2 linked regions of the Macaca mulatta genome follow. The protein of the gene in region 1 interacts with the protein of each later gene in a biochemical or structural test. Links are inferred from orthologs where the notes say so. Each region holds a gene or a part of one and is shown on either strand. Other genes may lie near its edges. The genes, in order: FLT1 and PGF.

Evidence for each region.
Region 2: the proteins of FLT1 (region 1) and PGF are reported together in a solved structure, tested with the Homo sapiens proteins (2 studies listed by BioGRID and IntAct, with this or other methods). The link is inferred for Macaca mulatta from reciprocal best matches to the Homo sapiens genes FLT1 and PGF.

The regions. Positions count from the first base shown.
Region 1 is NC_133422.1:8,414,376-8,423,718, forward strand, and holds part of FLT1 (vascular endothelial growth factor receptor 1), read right to left. Parts: intron 8,428-9,343; coding exon 8,265-8,427; intron 8,163-8,264; coding exon 8,026-8,162; intron 5,510-8,025; coding exon 5,335-5,509; intron 4,374-5,334; coding exon 4,256-4,373; intron 1,791-4,255; coding exon 1,621-1,790; intron 1,188-1,620; coding exon 1,028-1,187; intron 1-1,027. UniProt on the Homo sapiens protein: Tyrosine-protein kinase that acts as a cell-surface receptor for VEGFA, VEGFB and PGF, and plays an essential role in the development of embryonic vasculature, the regulation of angiogenesis, cell survival, cell migration, macrophage function, chemotaxis, and cancer cell invasion.
Region 2 is NC_133412.1:148,145,000-148,154,342, forward strand, and holds the start of PGF (placenta growth factor), read right to left. Parts: upstream 8,685-9,343; 5' UTR 8,275-8,684; coding exon 8,200-8,274; intron 6,980-8,199; coding exon 6,937-6,979; intron 2,612-6,936; coding exon 2,415-2,611; intron 1,648-2,414; coding exon 1,571-1,647; intron 1-1,570. UniProt on the Homo sapiens protein: Growth factor active in angiogenesis and endothelial cell growth, stimulating their proliferation and migration. It binds to the receptor FLT1/VEGFR-1. Isoform PlGF-2 binds NRP1/neuropilin-1 and NRP2/neuropilin-2 in a heparin-dependent manner.

The sequences.
Region 1 (9,343 bases):
TTCCTATCAATTTTTTTTAAATAACAATCCTCCTGAACACTCTGCAAGTGAAGTTAAAAGTAAAAAGGAAAATAGTTTGGCATAATGATAATTCTTGGGCAGTTTCAATAATATCTTATTGTTGCACCTATCAATTCTATTCCTGTTCTTCAAATTAGCTCCCATGAACTATCCTTAGTATCATTCCTGTAGACTAAACAAAAAGAGGAAAAAGCAAACAAGGCTCAGTCATCAACAGGATGCAAAGAAATGTTGCACAATTAGCAGAGGGTGGGGATGTATTCGCTTAGCAAATATACACTGAGCATCTACTGTGTGCCAGCCTTCACCCAGCCTAAAGACACAGGGGTACTCTCCGCCAGCTCTTGGCTTAGAGAGAGACAACCCTGTGTGCATCGAGCGATGTAACAATGGTGTGAACAAAGTGCTGTTCATACTGAGGAGGAAGACGTGATTCTGAATGAGGCAGTCAGGAGGGTTCACAGAGAAGGTGATGTAAGAGCTGAGCCATGGGGTTTGATAAGTAAGGCCCTCTTAGGAGGCAGGCAGTGGGTGGAAGTGCATTTCAGACAGATGGAAGAGCAAAGCCCAAAAGGAGGAAACATAGTGATCATCGGTGTTGGGAAGAACTTGGATCATATCCAAAGAATAAAAAATGAACAATGGGGACGCGAATGCAACTGACATAGTGGTATAGCCAAAGTCTAGGGATCTTCAATTGAGAAACAGGATACCAGAGTTCCAACCTGAGCTCATATAACAGTTCATGGGAGGACCTTAGTTTTGTGCTTGTGCTTCTAAAACTGTAAACCAGAGAGAAAAATTATGAAATTGTTAGCCAACGGCAAGGTATATTCAGTAAGAAAGAAGAGTAGCTGTTGCCCACCTTTTTCCAAGGCAGGGAGAGCCTTGCCTTAAATATACAGTACACCCCATCTGCAGATTCTCATCTGTGTCCATTAAAAAAATCTTAATTCCAGGTGTCAAAAAGTATTTGAAAGTTAGTCAAAAAACTGACTGTCCCTACCTTGCTTCAGAATGATTATGGTTACAGGGGCGCCAGCACCACTTGATTGTAGGTCGAGGGATACCGTATGCGGTACAAGTCAGGATTTGTCTGCTGCCCAGTGGGTAGAGAGCTGGGTCTGGAAATGATGACACGGCCTTTTCATAAATCTGGGGTTTCACTGGAAAGGAGATGAAGAACGGGACAGAAGTCAAGAGCTGTTCTAATGACTTTCTCCTGGGCCACACATGAAGGACCACATTCTCACTGGTTTGGATGTCAGGGAAACAAACAAGAAACAAAAAAGAAGTAAACTGTCCTATTTGTCAAGAAAATGCAGATTTTTAAAAATAGTAGCAGTGTTTTGAGAATATTAATAATTTGATTCCATGGTATGTACATTGTGATTACAATGATAAAAGATCATGCTGCCTATGGAATACAACAAACAAACACGAGATTGTTGAAGATGGGAACTTAACGTTAAGTGTTTTTTCAAATGATTATTTGAAATTTTGTTATCTTTGATGTTGTTATGCTGATTTTTGAATTCATAAGTGTTCACTAATTTGTTTCCTACCAGAACCAGAAGAAAGCCTGAGCAGCAAACTTACCATTGACAATTAGAGTGGCAGTGAGGTTTTTGAACACATTTGACTGTTTTATGCTCAGCAAGATTGTATAATTCCCTGCATCCTCTTCAGTTACATCCTTGATAATTAACGAATAGCCCCGAGTCAAATAGCGAGCAGATTTCTCGGTCGCAGGTAACCCATCTTTTAACCTGTGGTTAAAAGCATAATCAGTAAGTCATTTCACATGGCCTCGCAATATCACTTTGGTAACACTGTCATTTAAGTTTTTGAGCTCAATTTGACCAGTTCTTTCTTTCTTTCTTTCTTTCTTTTTTTTTGAGACAGAGTCTCACTCTGTCGCCTAGGCTGGAGTGCAGTGGCGCAATTGCGGCTCACTGCAGCCTCTGCCTCCAGGGTTCAAGCGATTCTCTGCCTCAGCCTCCTGAGTAGCTAGGATTGCAGGCATCTGCCACCACGCCCAGCTAATTTTTGTATTTTTAGTAGAGATGGGGTTTCACCATGTTGGCCAGGCTGGTCTTGAACTCTTGACCTTGTGATCCACCCGCCTCAGCCTCCCAAAGTGCTGGGATTACAGGCGTGAGCCACTACACCCGGCCTCAAGTTGACCAGTTTCAAATCTTTGATCATCAGTGTTGATTTTTAAAATGTAGCCATTAACTTTTCAGTAAAGGCAGATATGCTTTTTAGACTGGGTAACACTTCATGTTTACTGGCAAGGAGGAAGAAATAAAGCAAGTGAAGATAGAAAAACAGTAGCTTAGTGTGCCCACAGGGATACCGGTGGCCACTGGGACTTAAGGATTAACCCAGAGGCAGGGGCTCTGATTCCATCCGAGATGTTTTTCAGAGTTTTCCACGAGGCTCCATCAGCAGTATAAGGGCCATTGTAAGTCAGATCAACTAGATCACTTCTCCAGATAAAAATACAAATAGACTTTCCTATTGTGGTCTCAGGTGGAGTTCTTATTAGTTTTATAAATGGTCACACCAGTTGTCCCTTTCATAAACTAGAGTGAAATCAAGATTATCAAGATTTCTCCTCTGAGGAAGAACAGTTAAGGTGCAAAACAAACAGAAAGCATAAACTTAAAAAAATTTTAACATAAAATTTTAATATAAAAACATATTAAATACTGAATCGATGCATTGATATCATTCTATTGCACACGGAACTGACAGTCAGAGCCTGGATGCTTGACCTGGCTCTTCTACTCACTGCAGGCTGCTGCACATATGACTAACCAGCTTGGGCTCCAATTTTCTCAAATTTTCTAGAGTTTCTCAAAGGTTCCTTATAACTCTAAAATTCTATGATTTCATTAAAATGCACAGTTCTTTAAATAGGCAGTTTTAATCCATTAGGAGTTTCTTATGTTCTGTATAAAGGTTTAATATTGGGAACTTAGTTCATTATCATGCATGATTATAAAGTCCTACAAACAAATTCCCATTACTAGTGTGTCTCAGATCCAAAGTAATTAAAATGAGGATGCTATACTTTGTGATTACAAATATTGTCTTGGTATTACTTTAAATTATTTCCTATCAACAAGTCAGCATTTTTGACGGTGGACTGAATTTTTTTAATGCCCTTGTGACTTAGTTACTGAAGAAATCAACACTAACAGATGAGCATGCTCTCAGACCCCGGCGGAGTGAATGTACCTCCTGGAGTCATTAAATTACTATTCAATTTACTATTAAACCTAAAAATTTACTACTAAATGTTTTTGATATTCTGAAGCAAAAAAGATCATTTTTCTACTGCAATGGCATGACGACATAGCACAAAGTTAAAATTTTCTCTTTAATTCCCTATTAAGTATTTAAGGGAACTGCAAACAAACACACTACCCTCATACGACATTGAAAGCCAAATCAGCTCTGGTTAGGGGGATTCTAAAATGGCACCACACCCCTATTGTATGGATTGTTTTGCTAATCAGTTTTGCACCATACCCTTTGTTTAAAAGGTAATGATTTGAGCCAAAGGTATTGGCATTTAACAGTAATTTTGTAAAATGATTGCAGATCATAAACAGATTACATTGTTTTACATCAGGTGTTGTACTAGTGTTTTAAAAAACTGCTGAAGGAGGTTTTGAATATATATCCTTCTAGCCAAAAAAACCTTAATTAGTTCAAGAAGGCCCATTCGTCCTCATCTTCAAATGAGTAAGTCTTGTCTCTATTAATGTTTGTTTAATTTTAAAACAAGACTGGAACTTTCAACCCAGCTGTACATAAAAGAATTATTTTCATCATTCTCATTACAGGAGTCCACTTCTTCAGGGTTAATAGAGCATGTTACATATTCAAAATGCTTCCTAGTCATTGTTCAGCACATCCCATTCAAAGAATGCTGACATCATAGGAAGGTTTAGAGATGCAGAAGGTTAACCACAGTAAGAGACTGACTAGACTGAAGTGAGCACTCGAACAAACCTCATCTCTTGCTTACCTTGCTACATTATTTCCTTTCCCCCAGCCCTTCTCACCTCCACCACCCAAGAATCTACAGAGTTCTGAGCTCTCTGGGGCTGTCTGAGGAACGTCTCTTGGTATTTTGTCAGGAATTGGAGTCATTAGGCTCTTGCAGCTTCCCACTTACAAAGCACGTCTTACACTGTTATGGAAATAAGTATGGTCCTACCATACAACTTCCGGCGAGGGAAACGCCTTCACTTTCATAGACAGCCGGTAAGACCGCTTGCCAGCTACAGTTTCGAGCACCTGCTGTTTTCGATGTTTCACAGTGATGAAGGCTTTATCTTTGAAAGGAGAAGTGATAAATACATTAGAAAAGAATATATTTCCATAAGCAAAACCTTAGGGCCTCATGAAGGGAGGGTGTAATCAATGAGTAAATAAACAGAGCTGAATTATGATAGAGCCTATCAATGAGCCTAAATATTGATCAAGAATAGGATACTTTAAAAGCACCGTAACTGGTGCACGCCTTTCAAATCAAATGGTATCACGTCCTAGCAACATAAAACAGTGGCAGAGCAACAGAAAGTAAAACACCTTAAATATCTCTATCACAATAACAAGGAAGTGGGAAGATATTTCTAAAAATCTGCGTGGCCGCTGTGAGAAAATGTTGCTCTGGGCACCCTAAATCAACTAATTTGATATCAAAAATCAACTGGAGAAAGACAAAAGGAAATAAAAGGCTACTGATAGAATTGTTCCACAGTTTCTGTCCTCCACACTGTTTCCTTTTCAGCAATGGAAATAAGGCTTTTAAGCATTTTCTTTATAGAATTTGCATACTGAAATTAAGCAACAACATTAGGATTCCATGAGAGTAAAAGCAGGGATAAAATAGCTTTAATTCTAAATGATTTAGCATACTATATTTTTATTTCTCTAATTCATGGTAGTACCTGAGAAATTTTTCTGAAGTAGTAAAGATAAAATTCATCATCTTTTTCTGTTTTGTTTATATAGGACACTAAAAATTTCATAAATATATTAGGTTCTAACTGAATTATTAGCTATAATAAACATCTAAAGAAAGGACTCTCTGTTCAATTCAAAAGTATTAAATTTAAAGAGTACTTAATGTGGTTTGCTTTTTGACAGGGGGAGGAGGGAACTATGGCCAAGTCGTATTCATTCATGATAATGTAACTCTTGGCCAACAGAAAACTGACTTATTTAGAGAACACAGACATCTACAATGATTAGAAAGCATAGCATGAGTTGGCAACGCTGAACTATGCTTACCATATATATGCACTGAGGTGTTAACGTATTTGAATGATGGTCCACTCCTTACACGACAAGTATAAAGTCCTTTGTCTTTGTTCTGCACTTTGTCAATAGTAAGAACACTGTAGAATATGTTGGCATGGGAATTGCTTTGGTCAATTCGTCGCCTTACAGAAGCTCTCTTATTTTTCTAGAAAGAAAACGTATAACAAATGTAGAAGGAGTGAGTGTTCATGCTTAAAGTTATATAGGATTTTAACATTTCTTAGATCATAACTTCGACAATAGCTTCTGTTTTATGCTAAGAATCACGTCACATCCACCTAGAGCACAATGTTTGGAAACTGTATCTGTGTCTAGAGATGCTTCAAATATGTAGCCTAGTAGGATTTATTTAGCACTTAATTTTCTTCAAATGCATTTTCACATATACCATCTCAATTGTTTGTCTCAACAACCTAGTGAGATTGGCAGGCTGACTGCCCTTTTACTGATGAAAAAACTGAAGGAAGGGACCCCCTGGCCCAAGTTGGCCAGGAACTCAGGTCTTTTGAGCATAAATCTAGTGTCCTTCCTCTGGCACACACACCTCTCTACACAGTAACCTGTTCTGTAGGCATACATATCACACACAAACATGACAATCATAAGCCTTAGTGTCTGGCTTAATGACAGTGCTTCTCTCACCAAATCACTGTCTGAGTTTCCTTTTTTGTCTCTATTAGATATGAAGGAAAAGATAATGAGTCTTGTCTCTACTTACTAAGGTGGAATAATCCTATAATTTCATTATTTCACTATTTGAGCAATGCTTGCCCATGTTGGCTAAATCATAGTAAACGGATCTGGGGACATGCAAAGCCATCAGCAGGTTTAACCAAGACTTGAAAGGTGCTGTCCCAGGTTTGTCTCAGATAAGAACAAGAATCAGTCTTAGGCTCCACAATCTGACCTGGCCACAATGACAGTCCTCCTCACTGTTTTGAGAAGACAAGATCACATTGCCTTCTCCTTTTTTTTTTTTAAGTGCTGTATTTTATAACTAATAAGTTATTTCCACCTCTCAGTCCTTCCGCATAGTCATAGGGGCAGAGGGGAGGAGCATGGAAAAATGTCTTTGGGAGCTGTCCAGAACTGATCTTTGGATCGGGAGCTTAGTTCTGCTCTGTGCCACGTTTAATACACTCCTACCCACCTGTCCATTTACTTCCCTGTTGGAACAGACAGACACATTTTGAGGCCATTTTCTTCATTCTCAGCAATAACCAGAGAGAAAAGTCAATTGCCACTATCAAAAGTCAGAGAACTAGTCCCTTAACATAACAGACTGAGGGAGGTTTCTGCAGCTCTATTTATACAGGTACTACTCCCTTTGCCAAGTTGAGTAACACTGGTATTGCTTCTGACTTGGGAAATAACTCATCCTGTGTTTTAGAGTTGCTTCGCCCAGTACTGCAGCCACCAGCCACCAGCCACGTGTGGCTATTAAAATTAAATGAAATCAAAAATTCATTTCCTCAGTCACACTAGTCACATTTCATCTGCCATATGTGGCTAGTGGCACAAGTACAGGATATTTCCATCACAGAAAGTTCTGTTGGACAGTGCTGTTTTAGAAGATTATTAGCATTTAATAGATGTATTATAGATACTCTTACTTACAGTAGCAATGCTAGCAGGATAGAAGTTTCTTCCCTCTTGGCACTTATTGAGAATATTTGATTTCTATTAAAACCCAGAAAATATTGCTACAAGCCATAGCATTTTTATTTAAATGAAACAATACCACTCCTAGAAAACAGCTGATGACAGATAAGGCCTTAATGTGCCCCTACAGGGCACTCGTTACACGTTTTTGTTGCTAAGTTATTCCATTTCCATGGCAAGAAATGTCGATGAAAAACAACACTAGCTTGGGGCTCATGCATTAATCTTTCATACATAATTTAATCATAAATTGACTTTGTAATTGGGCAATCTGAACGACATAACAAATGATTGTACTTGAGATATGCCGCATAAATCATGCTGATACACAAGAAATGGGGGCCAGAACTACTGTCAAAATTTCCGTAACAGTTTATCATAGTTTCCCCATGTATACATTTCTAAAACAATTATTGTTTGCAAGGATGTTCGATTTGAATAAGGGAACCCAACTCAGGCTTCATTCTTCTCATTTTTCTGAAGGACAGAATTGCTCCCCTGACACTTAACAAATGGAATATTGGATGACTGGGTTGTAATATCTTTTCCAAACATGTTCCAATCAGGTGCCTGACTGTCTGCCAGTATCCTAAATGAATGCGCTGACAGAGACAGCCTCCTGGAAAGTTGTTGTTGTTGTTACAAAAGGCAGTCCCTGCCTGGCATTTAGTGATACATTTCTCTCTCATCTCTAAATCCTACAGAATAGTTTCCAGGAATGAAACAATCCCTTTCTTTCCACCTAGAATCATGCAATAGAAATACCAGTCTATGCTCTTCAAAACAAAACTCCCAGACATCAAAAGACGGTATCTCTGCATATCACACTCATGAAATGCCAGGCAAAGAAAGCACTCGAACCAAACCCAAAGCTGCTTTATTGACTAACACTGCCACAGGAATCAGGATTTTCTGATTTTTCCCATCTCAAAAACCCTGCGGGATTTCACTTGCTAAAAATACTGTCCTGCAGAAGAAATAGAAAAATGGGTCACTCACTTCATCAGGGTAACTCCAGGTCATTTGAACTCTCGTGTTCAAGGGAGTGGTAGCAGTACAATTGAGGATAAGAGTATGGCCTCTAAGTAATTTGACTGGGCGTGGTGTGCTTATTTGGACATCTATGATTGTATTGGCTGCAAGCATAAAAGAGAAATTTTTTTAAATTAAGATTTCATTACGCAGATAAAAATAAAGAGCACTTCGGCTTATGTTCATGCCTCTGAAGCATCACTTACTTTGTCGATGTGTGAGATAGTTTGTCTTATACAAATGTCCATTGACTGTGGCTTCACAGGTCAGAAGCCCTATTTCTTTGTACGTTGCATTTGATATGATGAAGCCCTTTCTACTGTCCCAGATTACACGTTTTCCATCAGGGATCAAAGTGTCAAGTGGAAACTGAAAAGGAAGAGGCACGCATTAACAAGGTCCTATTAGCACTGGTTGGCAATACTGTTTCACCAGCAGTTGGTGAAAACATGATTTTTCATCTAAAATGAAAATAGTAAAACTCTGTAGTTTGCTTATAACAAACTAGGTTAAAAACTCTAGTTTGTTATCATTGGTTCTTGAGTTTTTTTGTATATAGCAAAAGACACTTGCATTATGATTAATTATAGTAATTATGATAATTTACTATCAGCCTTGGCAACAAATGGCACCTACCCAGGATAGACCTAGTTGTCATATCAGACTTTCAGGGGGAGCCCATAACTCTTTGGCCTCCAGGAATCTTCATAATAAACTGGTCGGACACTCAGCAGACAAACCAATTAACAGGCCGGGCGTGGTGGCTCACACCTGTAATTCCAGTACTTTGGGAGGCCGAGGTGGGTGGATCACCTGAGGTCAGCAGAGACCAGCCTGGCCAACGTGGTGAAACCCTGTCTCTACTAGAAATACAAAAATTAGCTGGGCATGGTGGCAGGTGCCTGTAATCCCAGCCACTCGGGAGGCTGAGGCAGGAGAATCGCTTGAACCCGGGAGGCGGAGGTTGCAGTGAGCTGAGATCACACCACTGCACTCCAGCCTGGGCGATAGAACGAGACTCCATCTCAAAAAAGAGAGAGAAGCCAATTGCATTTTTTTCTACTGGGGCTGCCAGATTATTCTCATTTGTTTTCATCGTCCAGAGCTTTTAACAAGTCATAGCTTTTCCTCCCATTTTGCATGGTTTACTGAAGAAGTGGCTGTCTTCAAAAGACTGTAAATAATTCCAGGTCCTCCAAGATTCATAACATTAACTTGGCACTCACTGGGATTGTCATTCTGAGGATCCTGCTGTGTCACAAGGAAGGTGTCAGCTCTGCCTCTG
Region 2 (9,343 bases), on another chromosome or scaffold:
CCTCCCAGGGCTATGGCTGTTGGCCCAGAAGCCAGAAGAAAGGTGTCCCTGTTGCCTGGCTCCTGGCAGGGGACAGGGCCTCAGTCTTTCCTGGGAACAGTGGGTGGAGACATGGGCCAGCATGGTAGCCGTCAGCTTTGGGGCCAGGACATGCTACCCTCGGCTGATTCCTCCCTTGGGAGCCTCGGCAAGGTACCAGGGCCTCTTGGGACTGTCTGGTTGTACCTCTCCATATTGGGCAAGTGAGAGACACTCTTGGAACCTCAGTCTCTTCATCTGCCTGCCCCAAAAGAGGGGCTGTCAGGGTAAAGGGGATGTAGAAGGTGACTCTGGGTCACCAGCTAGCATTGCACCCAGGAGGGTTCATTACCGAGCTATTATATGGATAAGCTCTGGCTTGGAGGGACGGGTGGAAACAAGTTGAGGCAGGGCCTCCAACACTCCAACAAAAGGGGCAGCGATAGCCCTGCCCAGGAGGCTAGGCTAAGCCTAGGGGCTACTAGAAAAGTGGTCACGGCCATGAGAGGTAGCATGAAGGCTTAGGATTTAGGTCAGGGCTCAGAATCCCTCCTCCCACACTCACTAGCTGTGATAAATCATGAAACTGTATTGAGCCTTGATTTTCTCATCTATAAAACGGGGATGACAATAGGATCTACCTCCCAGGGTTGTTATGAGAGCAGGGACCTTGCCCACCACTGCATCCCATCTAGGACAATGCCCGGCATGCAGTAGGTGCTCAATAAATGTATGTGACTAAATGAGAAACAATCAAGTGCCTCCTGCAGGGCTAGGCACAAAATGGGTACACAACAAGTGGTAGTCTTCCCTCCTCCTGCCCCTGGCTAGGGCTCTGGACTTCTAGTCTGGTGCCTTCATCCATGGCCCAGTGGTACCAGGAGCAACAGCTCAGCCCATTTTTCTCTTCCCTGAACCTCGTTGGCAGTGCCAGGCCTGTTGCTCCTGCTAACCAATGTTCCAAGTGCCCCCGGCACAGGCAGCAAGACTGGTGCTGGTCAGAGGCTCTGCGGATTGGGAGGGGCCGTAGCGGGGTGCTGTATCATCAGGGAAGCCACAGTGTCACCCTTCTTCTGTCCCCTTTCTCCTACCCGAGCTTGTCCTTCTTGCTGCTTCTCAGCCCGGTTTGCCCCCTCCTGTGGGCATGCAGCTTGGCCCAGAACTAAGTTCAGACTTGCAATGTCTTCGCCTCCAGGGACCTCTTTCAGAGGCCCGTGGCAGCTGCCTCCCGTCCCAGAGAAGGGGAACGACACGCACCAAACCCCAGCGAGGCTGGGAGGGACCCACGCTCTCTCTTCCCTTGCAGTATGTCAACAGCTGTACCCCAGCTGCTGGGACCAGCTCCCTCGGCAAAACTGGCTGGTCGGGGGACAAAATGAATGGCAGCCACCCCTGCCTGGTCCTGCCCTCTTGGTCTCCCTCAGCCTGGAAAAAGGTACAGCCGGCGGCGGGGATGGGGCAGCCTTTGCCTCTGCCCTGGGACCCATCTTTGCTGAGGGTGCCAAGAGCACGGGGGCCTTTCCCTGCTACCCGCCCCACCCCGGAGACCTACCGGCACTCGCAACGCACGTGCTGAGAGAACGTCAGCTCCACGTAGGAGGGCCGGTCCCCAGAGCGGATCTTTAGGAGCTGAAGGAAGAAAGAGTTGATGCCTGGATTGGGGAGTGGTCCATGAGTTTCCCGTACTCTTCTCTCTCTCCTTGTAAGGAGAACCCGATTCTGTTTCCTGTAGCCTGTGGACTACAGGCCCTCACTCCACTCTCAGCGTGAGGCAAATGGCTCTCTCAGCTGCGTGGGGACCTGAGGGAGGCCGCTGTCCCTCCTTACCCAGGGGGCACTAGCACAGCAATAGTGCATGAAGGGGGCCATGTTCTGGAGTCAGAGACCCGTGTTCAGATCTTGACTCTTTTACCTGCTGAACAAGTGAAATAACATCTCTGAACCTCGAGTTCCCCATCTGTGAAATGGGAATGACACCAGCCTTGAAGGACTGAATGATGTACCACTTGTGGCACGCCTAGGACAGTGCTTGGCATTACTAAGTGCTCAATAAACCACTGCGTGTGTGACACGTAAGCTGCACTTGCTTGAAAAGGCACCAAATGCTCCTGGTGTCAACAGGGACTTTAATACAAGCAGATTTCTTTCCAGCTTTAACTAGACACCCTGAGTCTTGGGATAGGGCTCAGCATGAGGCTGAGAAAACTGGTGGGGGTGGAGGTGAGTGGGCTCAGAGCCATCGGGGGGCTCAGGAAGGAAGGGCCCTGGGCTGGGGTAGTAGAAGCACCGGCCTGGGAATCAGGCTGCAGTCCTGGGACCTGGGCCTATCTTCTTCCCTCTCCAGGTCCCTTCTAGTGGGCAGATTCGGTGGCCCCCTGGGCCGGGTGTGGACCTACCTGCATGGTGACATTGACCGTCTCCACCGGCACACAGTGCAGGTTCTCATCGCCACAGCAGCCGGTGCAGCGCAGCAGGGAGACACACGATGGGCTGAACATGTGCTCCACCTCGCTGGGGTACTCGGACACGATGTCCACCAGCCTCTCCAGCGCCCGGCAGTAGCTGCGGCCCCACACTTCCTGGAAGGGCACCACTGCGAGGAGGCAAGGGGGCTGGGTCAGGCCAGCAGAGACCTGCCCCTCGAAGCCCTAAACCTGGCTCCCAAGGCCCCGCTGGTCTTCCAGGTTCAGCCCCCAGCCCCTTCCGAGCTCCCTCAACTCTCAATTCCTAATGTGATCCCTCCGAAATGCCTGTGGGCCCCTTAGCTCATCTGCTGGATGGAAATCCCCGTGGAACAGAATCTCTCAGGGCCCCAAGCTTTGCTCTGTCCTCAACTCAGGCACCCACATCTGCCTTGGCTCCCTGGAGCTTTGCGGATTGTAGCCTCCGCAGCTGCCCAGGCCCTCTGGATCTTTCTCAAGCCCGACCGGTGCTTCCTCCACCTCGGAGAACTTGCAGAAAACAGTCATTTCTGGAGTCACGCAGGGAGGGTTGGCCTTCCCTTACTCCTCTGCTCAAACACCTTCCACGGCTCCCTCATTTCCTGCTCCACTCTGTGCCAGCTCCTCTGCCTGGCAACCAAGACCACATCCAGCAATGTGGCCCGACCCTCCTCTCCATTGAGTCCAACCAGCACTCACAGTGAGTCACGGCAGCACCGCATTCACTCGCAGCTCTGGGCTTGTGCACTCTGCAGCCCCTACAGCTGCTCTTCTTCCCCCTCCTCTCATTTCTATCCAAATAAATAAAGCCCACTCGCCATTTTCCAAGGCCTGCCTCCCCACCTCCTCTTTGAAGCCTTCCCCAGCAATTCTGGTGTGCACAGATGAGCCTCCCTTGAGCACGGCCTGGCCCCAAGGGGTTGTCTTATCTCTGTCACTGGTGGCTCTTATCTCCTTTACAACCAACCCGAGGCTCTATGAGGGCAGAGATGGATGTACCCGTAAACACAGGCTAAGTCATTCCTGGTTGATTAGATGATAGTTCACCGAGGATCGTCCGGGACATCCCTGACCCCCATGATGTCCTGGTGATCGTGATGGGATCTTTTGAGGGCTGATCTGGAATCCCTCAAAAGATGCCGCTCTTTTGGGTGAAGGCCTGGAACCAGGCCCCAAATAGAGGCTCACAGAGAGTGGCCAGAGTCAGACACCTGGCTTCCAGTCCCAGCCCCACACTGGCTGTGTGACCTTGGGGAGATCAGTTAACCTTTCTGGGTAGATCAGTTTCCTCAGGTGGGAAAAAAGAAGGTTGGGAATAAATGGTTGCTAAGGTCTTTCCCTTTCTGACCAACCACCTGTGAATCAGTGCCTGCAACCCAGCCCAGCCCGGAGACCATGGACAGAGAAATGCCCCCGGGTCTGGGTCATCCTGCTCTGCATCTGATGGTCATCATCAGCTAGTTGGAAAGAATCAGGAGCTGGCTCACCGGGGCCCTGCAGCCTCTGCCATGGAATAATGGCCTCTCCCAGCAACCCCTCATTTCTTCCAGGCCTCTGCCTAGGAGGCAGAAGGGGCCAAAGTCCATTCCACTGAGCCTATGAGGACATGCGCCTCCTGGTAATCTCAGAAGAAAAATAAACTTCAGTCCTAGCAGAGGCCCTCGGGAAAGGCTGCAAACTGGTGGAAAATACCCAGAGGCGGTGTGTCCATGTGGAGCTGGCTAGGCAGTCATAGAGGCAATAAACAGTGTTATCTGCTTGTTTGCTGCTCCACTCTACCCTGCTCTGCTTAGAGGGCACTAGGGCTGGGCTAGGGGCTGGCGGTGGGGGGAATCCATAGGCCTCCCCTGACTCTACCACTCCATGCCCCTGGTACTGCCCCGGAACCCAGTGGGAAACAAGGCCTCTCTCCCCAAAGGTGCCCACAGTGCAGGGAAGCCTGCCTTTGCAGTCCAGGGTCAGAGAGCACCTCCCTATCACCAGCTCCTTGAGCTGTGTGTTTAGTTTAAAATCTTCATGAGCACTACGTGACTCTGAACGTTTAATCTCCACCTTTATGGAAAACATAAATAACAGCAGAGGAATAACGAACTGCCAAAACAACACGGAAGATTCAGGTTCCTGCCTTGGAACCAGTCATCAGCGAGGGGACAGCAGCAGAGAAGGGGCACCCCAGCCCCCTCCCATCCTGCAAACAGACGCCTACCCAGCTGGGCTGCGGGGCCATGGCCACCTTTGGCAGAACTGGCTGGGCCTGGGCAGCGGCAGAAGGGATTTCCTTTCCTCACCCCACATCCCACCATGCAGACTCCGGGTCCCTGAAACCCTGGAATCTGCCAATTTCCTGGCCCCGTGGCCGAACCATGTTGCGGGAGGGCTGAGAAGGAGGTGGGCTGGAGCCTGGTTTACCTGGCAGCCACCAGGAAAGAGGGCAATTCATCCCTGAAGGCCCCCGTATGGGCGTGTGGGAGAAACAAAAGGGGCTGGGTGAGGGGCCAGGCTGAGGGAGTGTGCAGTGACCACTCCCAGATGTGGGCCATGTCCCTCAGGAAAGAGCTCTGCTCAGCTGTCCCTGAGAGCACTTCCGCTGGCCCCAGACCTGCTCCGGGAGGGGGTGGGGGTGAGAGCAACGGGAAGCTGTGGCCCCCTCAGGCACTGCCAGAGCTGGGTGGTCCCCAGGGCTGCTCCTGAGGCCATGAGTGGGCCCTCAGCTCTCTCGCCAGCCCTGAGAGTGAGCCTCCCACCTGCCTGCCACCACCTGGGATGGGGGAGACTCCAGAAGAGAAATGCTTAATCCTGAGAGCAAGTTTCTGTGGAGGGCACTGGGGACGAGCCACAGGGCTGGGCAGAGCCACTGGCCACCAGCCCAAGCCCACAGGTGTCCTCTCCATGGTCACTGGCAGAGCACACAGACAGCCTGCCACAAGGGACACCCTGCTCATGCCTGATCAGCCACGGAGCTATTGGGAGCACTCGGTTCTGCCAGATCCATGAGGAGTGCCTGAGGCTTGGGGCGACCCCCAGGGCCTCTCTGAGCCTCAGGTCCTGCATCTGTAAAAATGGAGTACATCGCCTTCCTACTTCACAGCCTGTGGTCAAAACAGAATGACAGAAAATGCCTAACACTGTTCCTGTGAATAGTAATAGTAAAAATCAACGCCCATGGCTGGCCATGCTGCCTCTTGCTCTGGTGTTAATAGGTGGGATGACATTTTCAGATTTGGAGAGCTGGAGTGCAAAGCTCATTGTACTTCTCCTGGTCAGATTGCACACTCCCTGATTGATAAGTGTGACAGGAGAGCTGACCTAACGAACCTACACTTCCAGGCCTCCTCACCTCGAATCCTGGGTGATATGTACACCCATTTCTCCTCCCTGGAGTTAGAGAACAGGTCCCTTTTTCAATCTCGGAAAAAGAAGAAACCATAGACATCACATAGCCTAAGGCTCCCATTTTACAGATGAGGAAACTGAGGCTAAGGCATCTTTGGTAGCTGTGGCCTGACCTACACTAAAAGCACCAAAAAGGGGATAGTGTGGAGGTAGGGGATGGGTCCTTCCCCAAATCCCAAGGAGCATAATGTTGTGCTGGTTCCAGAGGCACAGCAAGGGAGGCATCCATGAAGTCAAGGGCAGCTGCCTCCTCTACCTGCTCAGGGGTCTAGGGCCTGAGCCTCAGGTGTCAGAGTATGACCAGGCCCGGGAGAGGCGGGCTGCCAGGCAGGCAAGGCCAGCAGAGGGTGTTCCCAGCATGCAGATGGCTATCACGCGTGTGCGTGTGCATGTTCCTACATGCCCCCTCTCCCATGGCGCAGGGGAAGCCTCAGCGGTGGCGTGTGGCCGCTCTGCACGTCTTGGAGAGGCAGGGAGGGAGGAGCGAGGTAGGGGGCCTGGCATCCTGCACGTATGTCTCTTTGGCAAACGTCTCGTTGCCCTTTGAAGATTCCCTCTTGAGGCAACCAGGGTGGGGAGTAGAGGGGCCAGGGAGGGCACAATTCATGTTCTGTCTGTTTATAATCAATGGAAAGGCATGGTCAGATCCAGGCAGTTCCACTAGGGCTGGGCTGCTGGGGAGGGCCCCTCACCCATTCCTGATCCTCTTGACTGCACACTGCATCCAGCTCCCAGACCCCCATTCTGGCCCCTGGCACTCACTCCCCACTCTGTCCTCCAAGACCCCATCCATACGCTTAAATCATGCTGGGGAAGGGCTCTGAGCCAGCTCAATGAACCCTGGCTATACTGGCCCCAGTCCCACTCTCTGTGTGCTGATGACCCCAGCCCACACCTCTCTAGTCTCTGGGTCACCATGAGGGGATCTCTTAGGCCCTGCCAAAGTCATCAGCTAGGATATCTAGCTCATAGGCTCTCCCCAACTTTTATCAACCTGTACCCACACTTTATGCCACGCCTGGGCTTGGGAGAAAGGAAGAGAGGGGCTTGGGGATCATGCAAACCCCCAGCCTGGCCAGCTTACCTTCCACCTCTGACGAGCCGTTCCCAGGAGACAAGGCCCACTGCTGTGGACAGAAAGGTACAGAGATGAGCCTGGGACACCTTGGGGCTCTGCACTCTTGGGCCAAGTGTGATGGCAGGAAGGTAGGGGCCCCTCTGGATTCCTTCCCACTTGCTGCACAGGCTCTGCCCTGTCTCAGAGCAGCCTGAGCACAACTAAAAACTCACCGGACCCTAGATAGGTTAGGTCCCACCCCTCTCTGGCCTCAGTTTTCCTCATTTGGAAAAGGATGGGAGGCTAGAAGCTCTTGGAGACCCTTGGCCTGCTGCGTCCCAAAGATCTTCCAATCCTGTGGGTCTCCCTTCTACCCAGCCCCCCCAGTTCAACCCTGCCGGGCCCTGTACAGCCCGCCTTGGCTGGGTGCCAGAGCCCAGGGGGAGGTGATCAGCTGGTGGGAGCGGAGGGGTTGGAGCGGGTGGCGCCATGAGCTGGTGCAGCCGGTAACGTTACACCTCTGGCCAGCCCTGCAGCAGGCAGGCGGGTGGCTGGGCTGCTCGGGCTCCTCAGGGACTGCCCAGCCCACTCCTACTCTTGGGCTGGGGCTGGGGACTCCCAGGGCAGTGGGACAACACAGTGGGAAGGGAGCTCATTGGCTTTGTCAGGATTTCACTGCCCAAGCTGGCTCCCAGCCAGACTCACCCGGCTCCTGGGAAAAGGGCCCTGCTCACTTCCCCAGGCCCTGCACTCAGGACCTCCGGCCACCCACCCAGGAGAAAAGGCACAGCGAGACCCCTTGTCTCATCCCCAGCCCACCCAGGAGCCCACGGCTCAGTCCTGAGCCCTGGTGGGGGCAGGGCCCAGCCTTCCCACCATCATCCTCTTCAGCTGGCTCCTCCACCACCCCCACCAGGCCAGGTCAGAGGTCCTGGGGACGCCTGGTTGGCCATGGGGCCTCGACCCTGACCACAAGGCCAGGGACCCGCCTGGGATTAGTGGACAGATGCTTTTAGCAAAGCCACCAGGGCTCCAGAGGCCAGACAGGAAACCTCCCTCCCTCCCTCCCTGTGGCTTCCCTGCCCCCACTAAGACAGCCCCCAGGACCTGGGGGACAGCCAGCCTGAGGTCTCTTCCCAAACGAAAGAAGTCCAGCCTGGCCTTTAGGAAGTATGTGGACATCCTTGGATTTGCTGCTCCCTGGAGCGAGTCTGTGATTTCAGAGTCCCCTGCTTCCAGTGCTGGGATAGGGAGGTCAGGGGAGCCGGGCTAGGTGGGGGTAGCTCTTACCTGGGGGGGCACAGCAGGCAGCGCCAGCCCAGCCAGGAGCTGCAGGAAGCAAGGGAACAGCCTCATGGCCGGCATCTTCTCAGACGTCCCGAGCCAGGGGGCTCCGAAGGAAAACCACCATGCTCATCCCCCGGGGAGCCCCTGGCACAGGAGCAGAAGAGCTGAGTGGGCGGCTGGACGCCCCCCTCACTGCTGCCCCGAGGCCCCGGCCGGTGGTTCGAGCATCTTCTGGAAGCCGTGGGGAGTCAGGAGCCCGCAGGTAAGGCTATGGCTGGGGAGCCCGACCGGGAGCGGTCCGGCGGGGCGGGGCGCCGAGGGGCAGGCGGGTCCCAGGGAGGGTCCGTCGGGCGCCCAGTGCCACCCCAGGTCCTCCCGCAGCTGGGCGGCCGTCCGAAGATGCAGTTTCTTCCGCAGACAGCAGCTCCCTTCTGGGACTGCAGCCGGCCCGCGCCTGGGTTTCAGGGGCTGAGCTGGGGCGGGGCTCCGGGCCTGCCCCGCCCACAGCAGAAGAGGTTCCCGAGCCGAGTTCCCGCAGCGCCCGGCCAGCCCGCAGCGCCGGAGCCCGCAGTGCTTGCGAGGGGCGCTCGGCAAATGCGCACGCCTCGACGAGCCCAGCCCGCAGCTCCCCGGGCCACGCCGCGCCCGCCCGCAGAGCCCACAGCCCCGCTTCGGCTCTCGGGGCCGTCACCTGGGATGGGACCATCCAGGTGTGGAGCCCAGCGTCAGCCGTCAAGGCTTATGTCCTAGCGGCCTCTGCAGGAAGGGCCGTCCCGGATCCCTGGGAAGGCAGCCATGCCCACACACCTCGGGGGCCAAGGGATTCCTAGCCCCGTTTTATAGATGAAGAAACCGAGGCTCCGAGAGCACCCCTGCCTGCGTATGTCGAATGGACATAGGCATTCTTGGAAAGTGTGTGTGTGTGTGTGTGTTGTGTGTGTGCGCGCATCTGTGTGTCCGAGAAACTGGCAGAGACAAAACCCAAGCCCTACGTGACTCCAGAACCGTCTCTCACCCGACCCATCATCCTCCTAGCCAGGCATGGACACAGTGGGCGGCCCACAGGAAACCCCTCAGGGCACCTGACTGGAGGATCAGGCCTGCTGCCTCCTTGGGAAACAGTCTTCTCAGACCCTCCCTGTGGCCT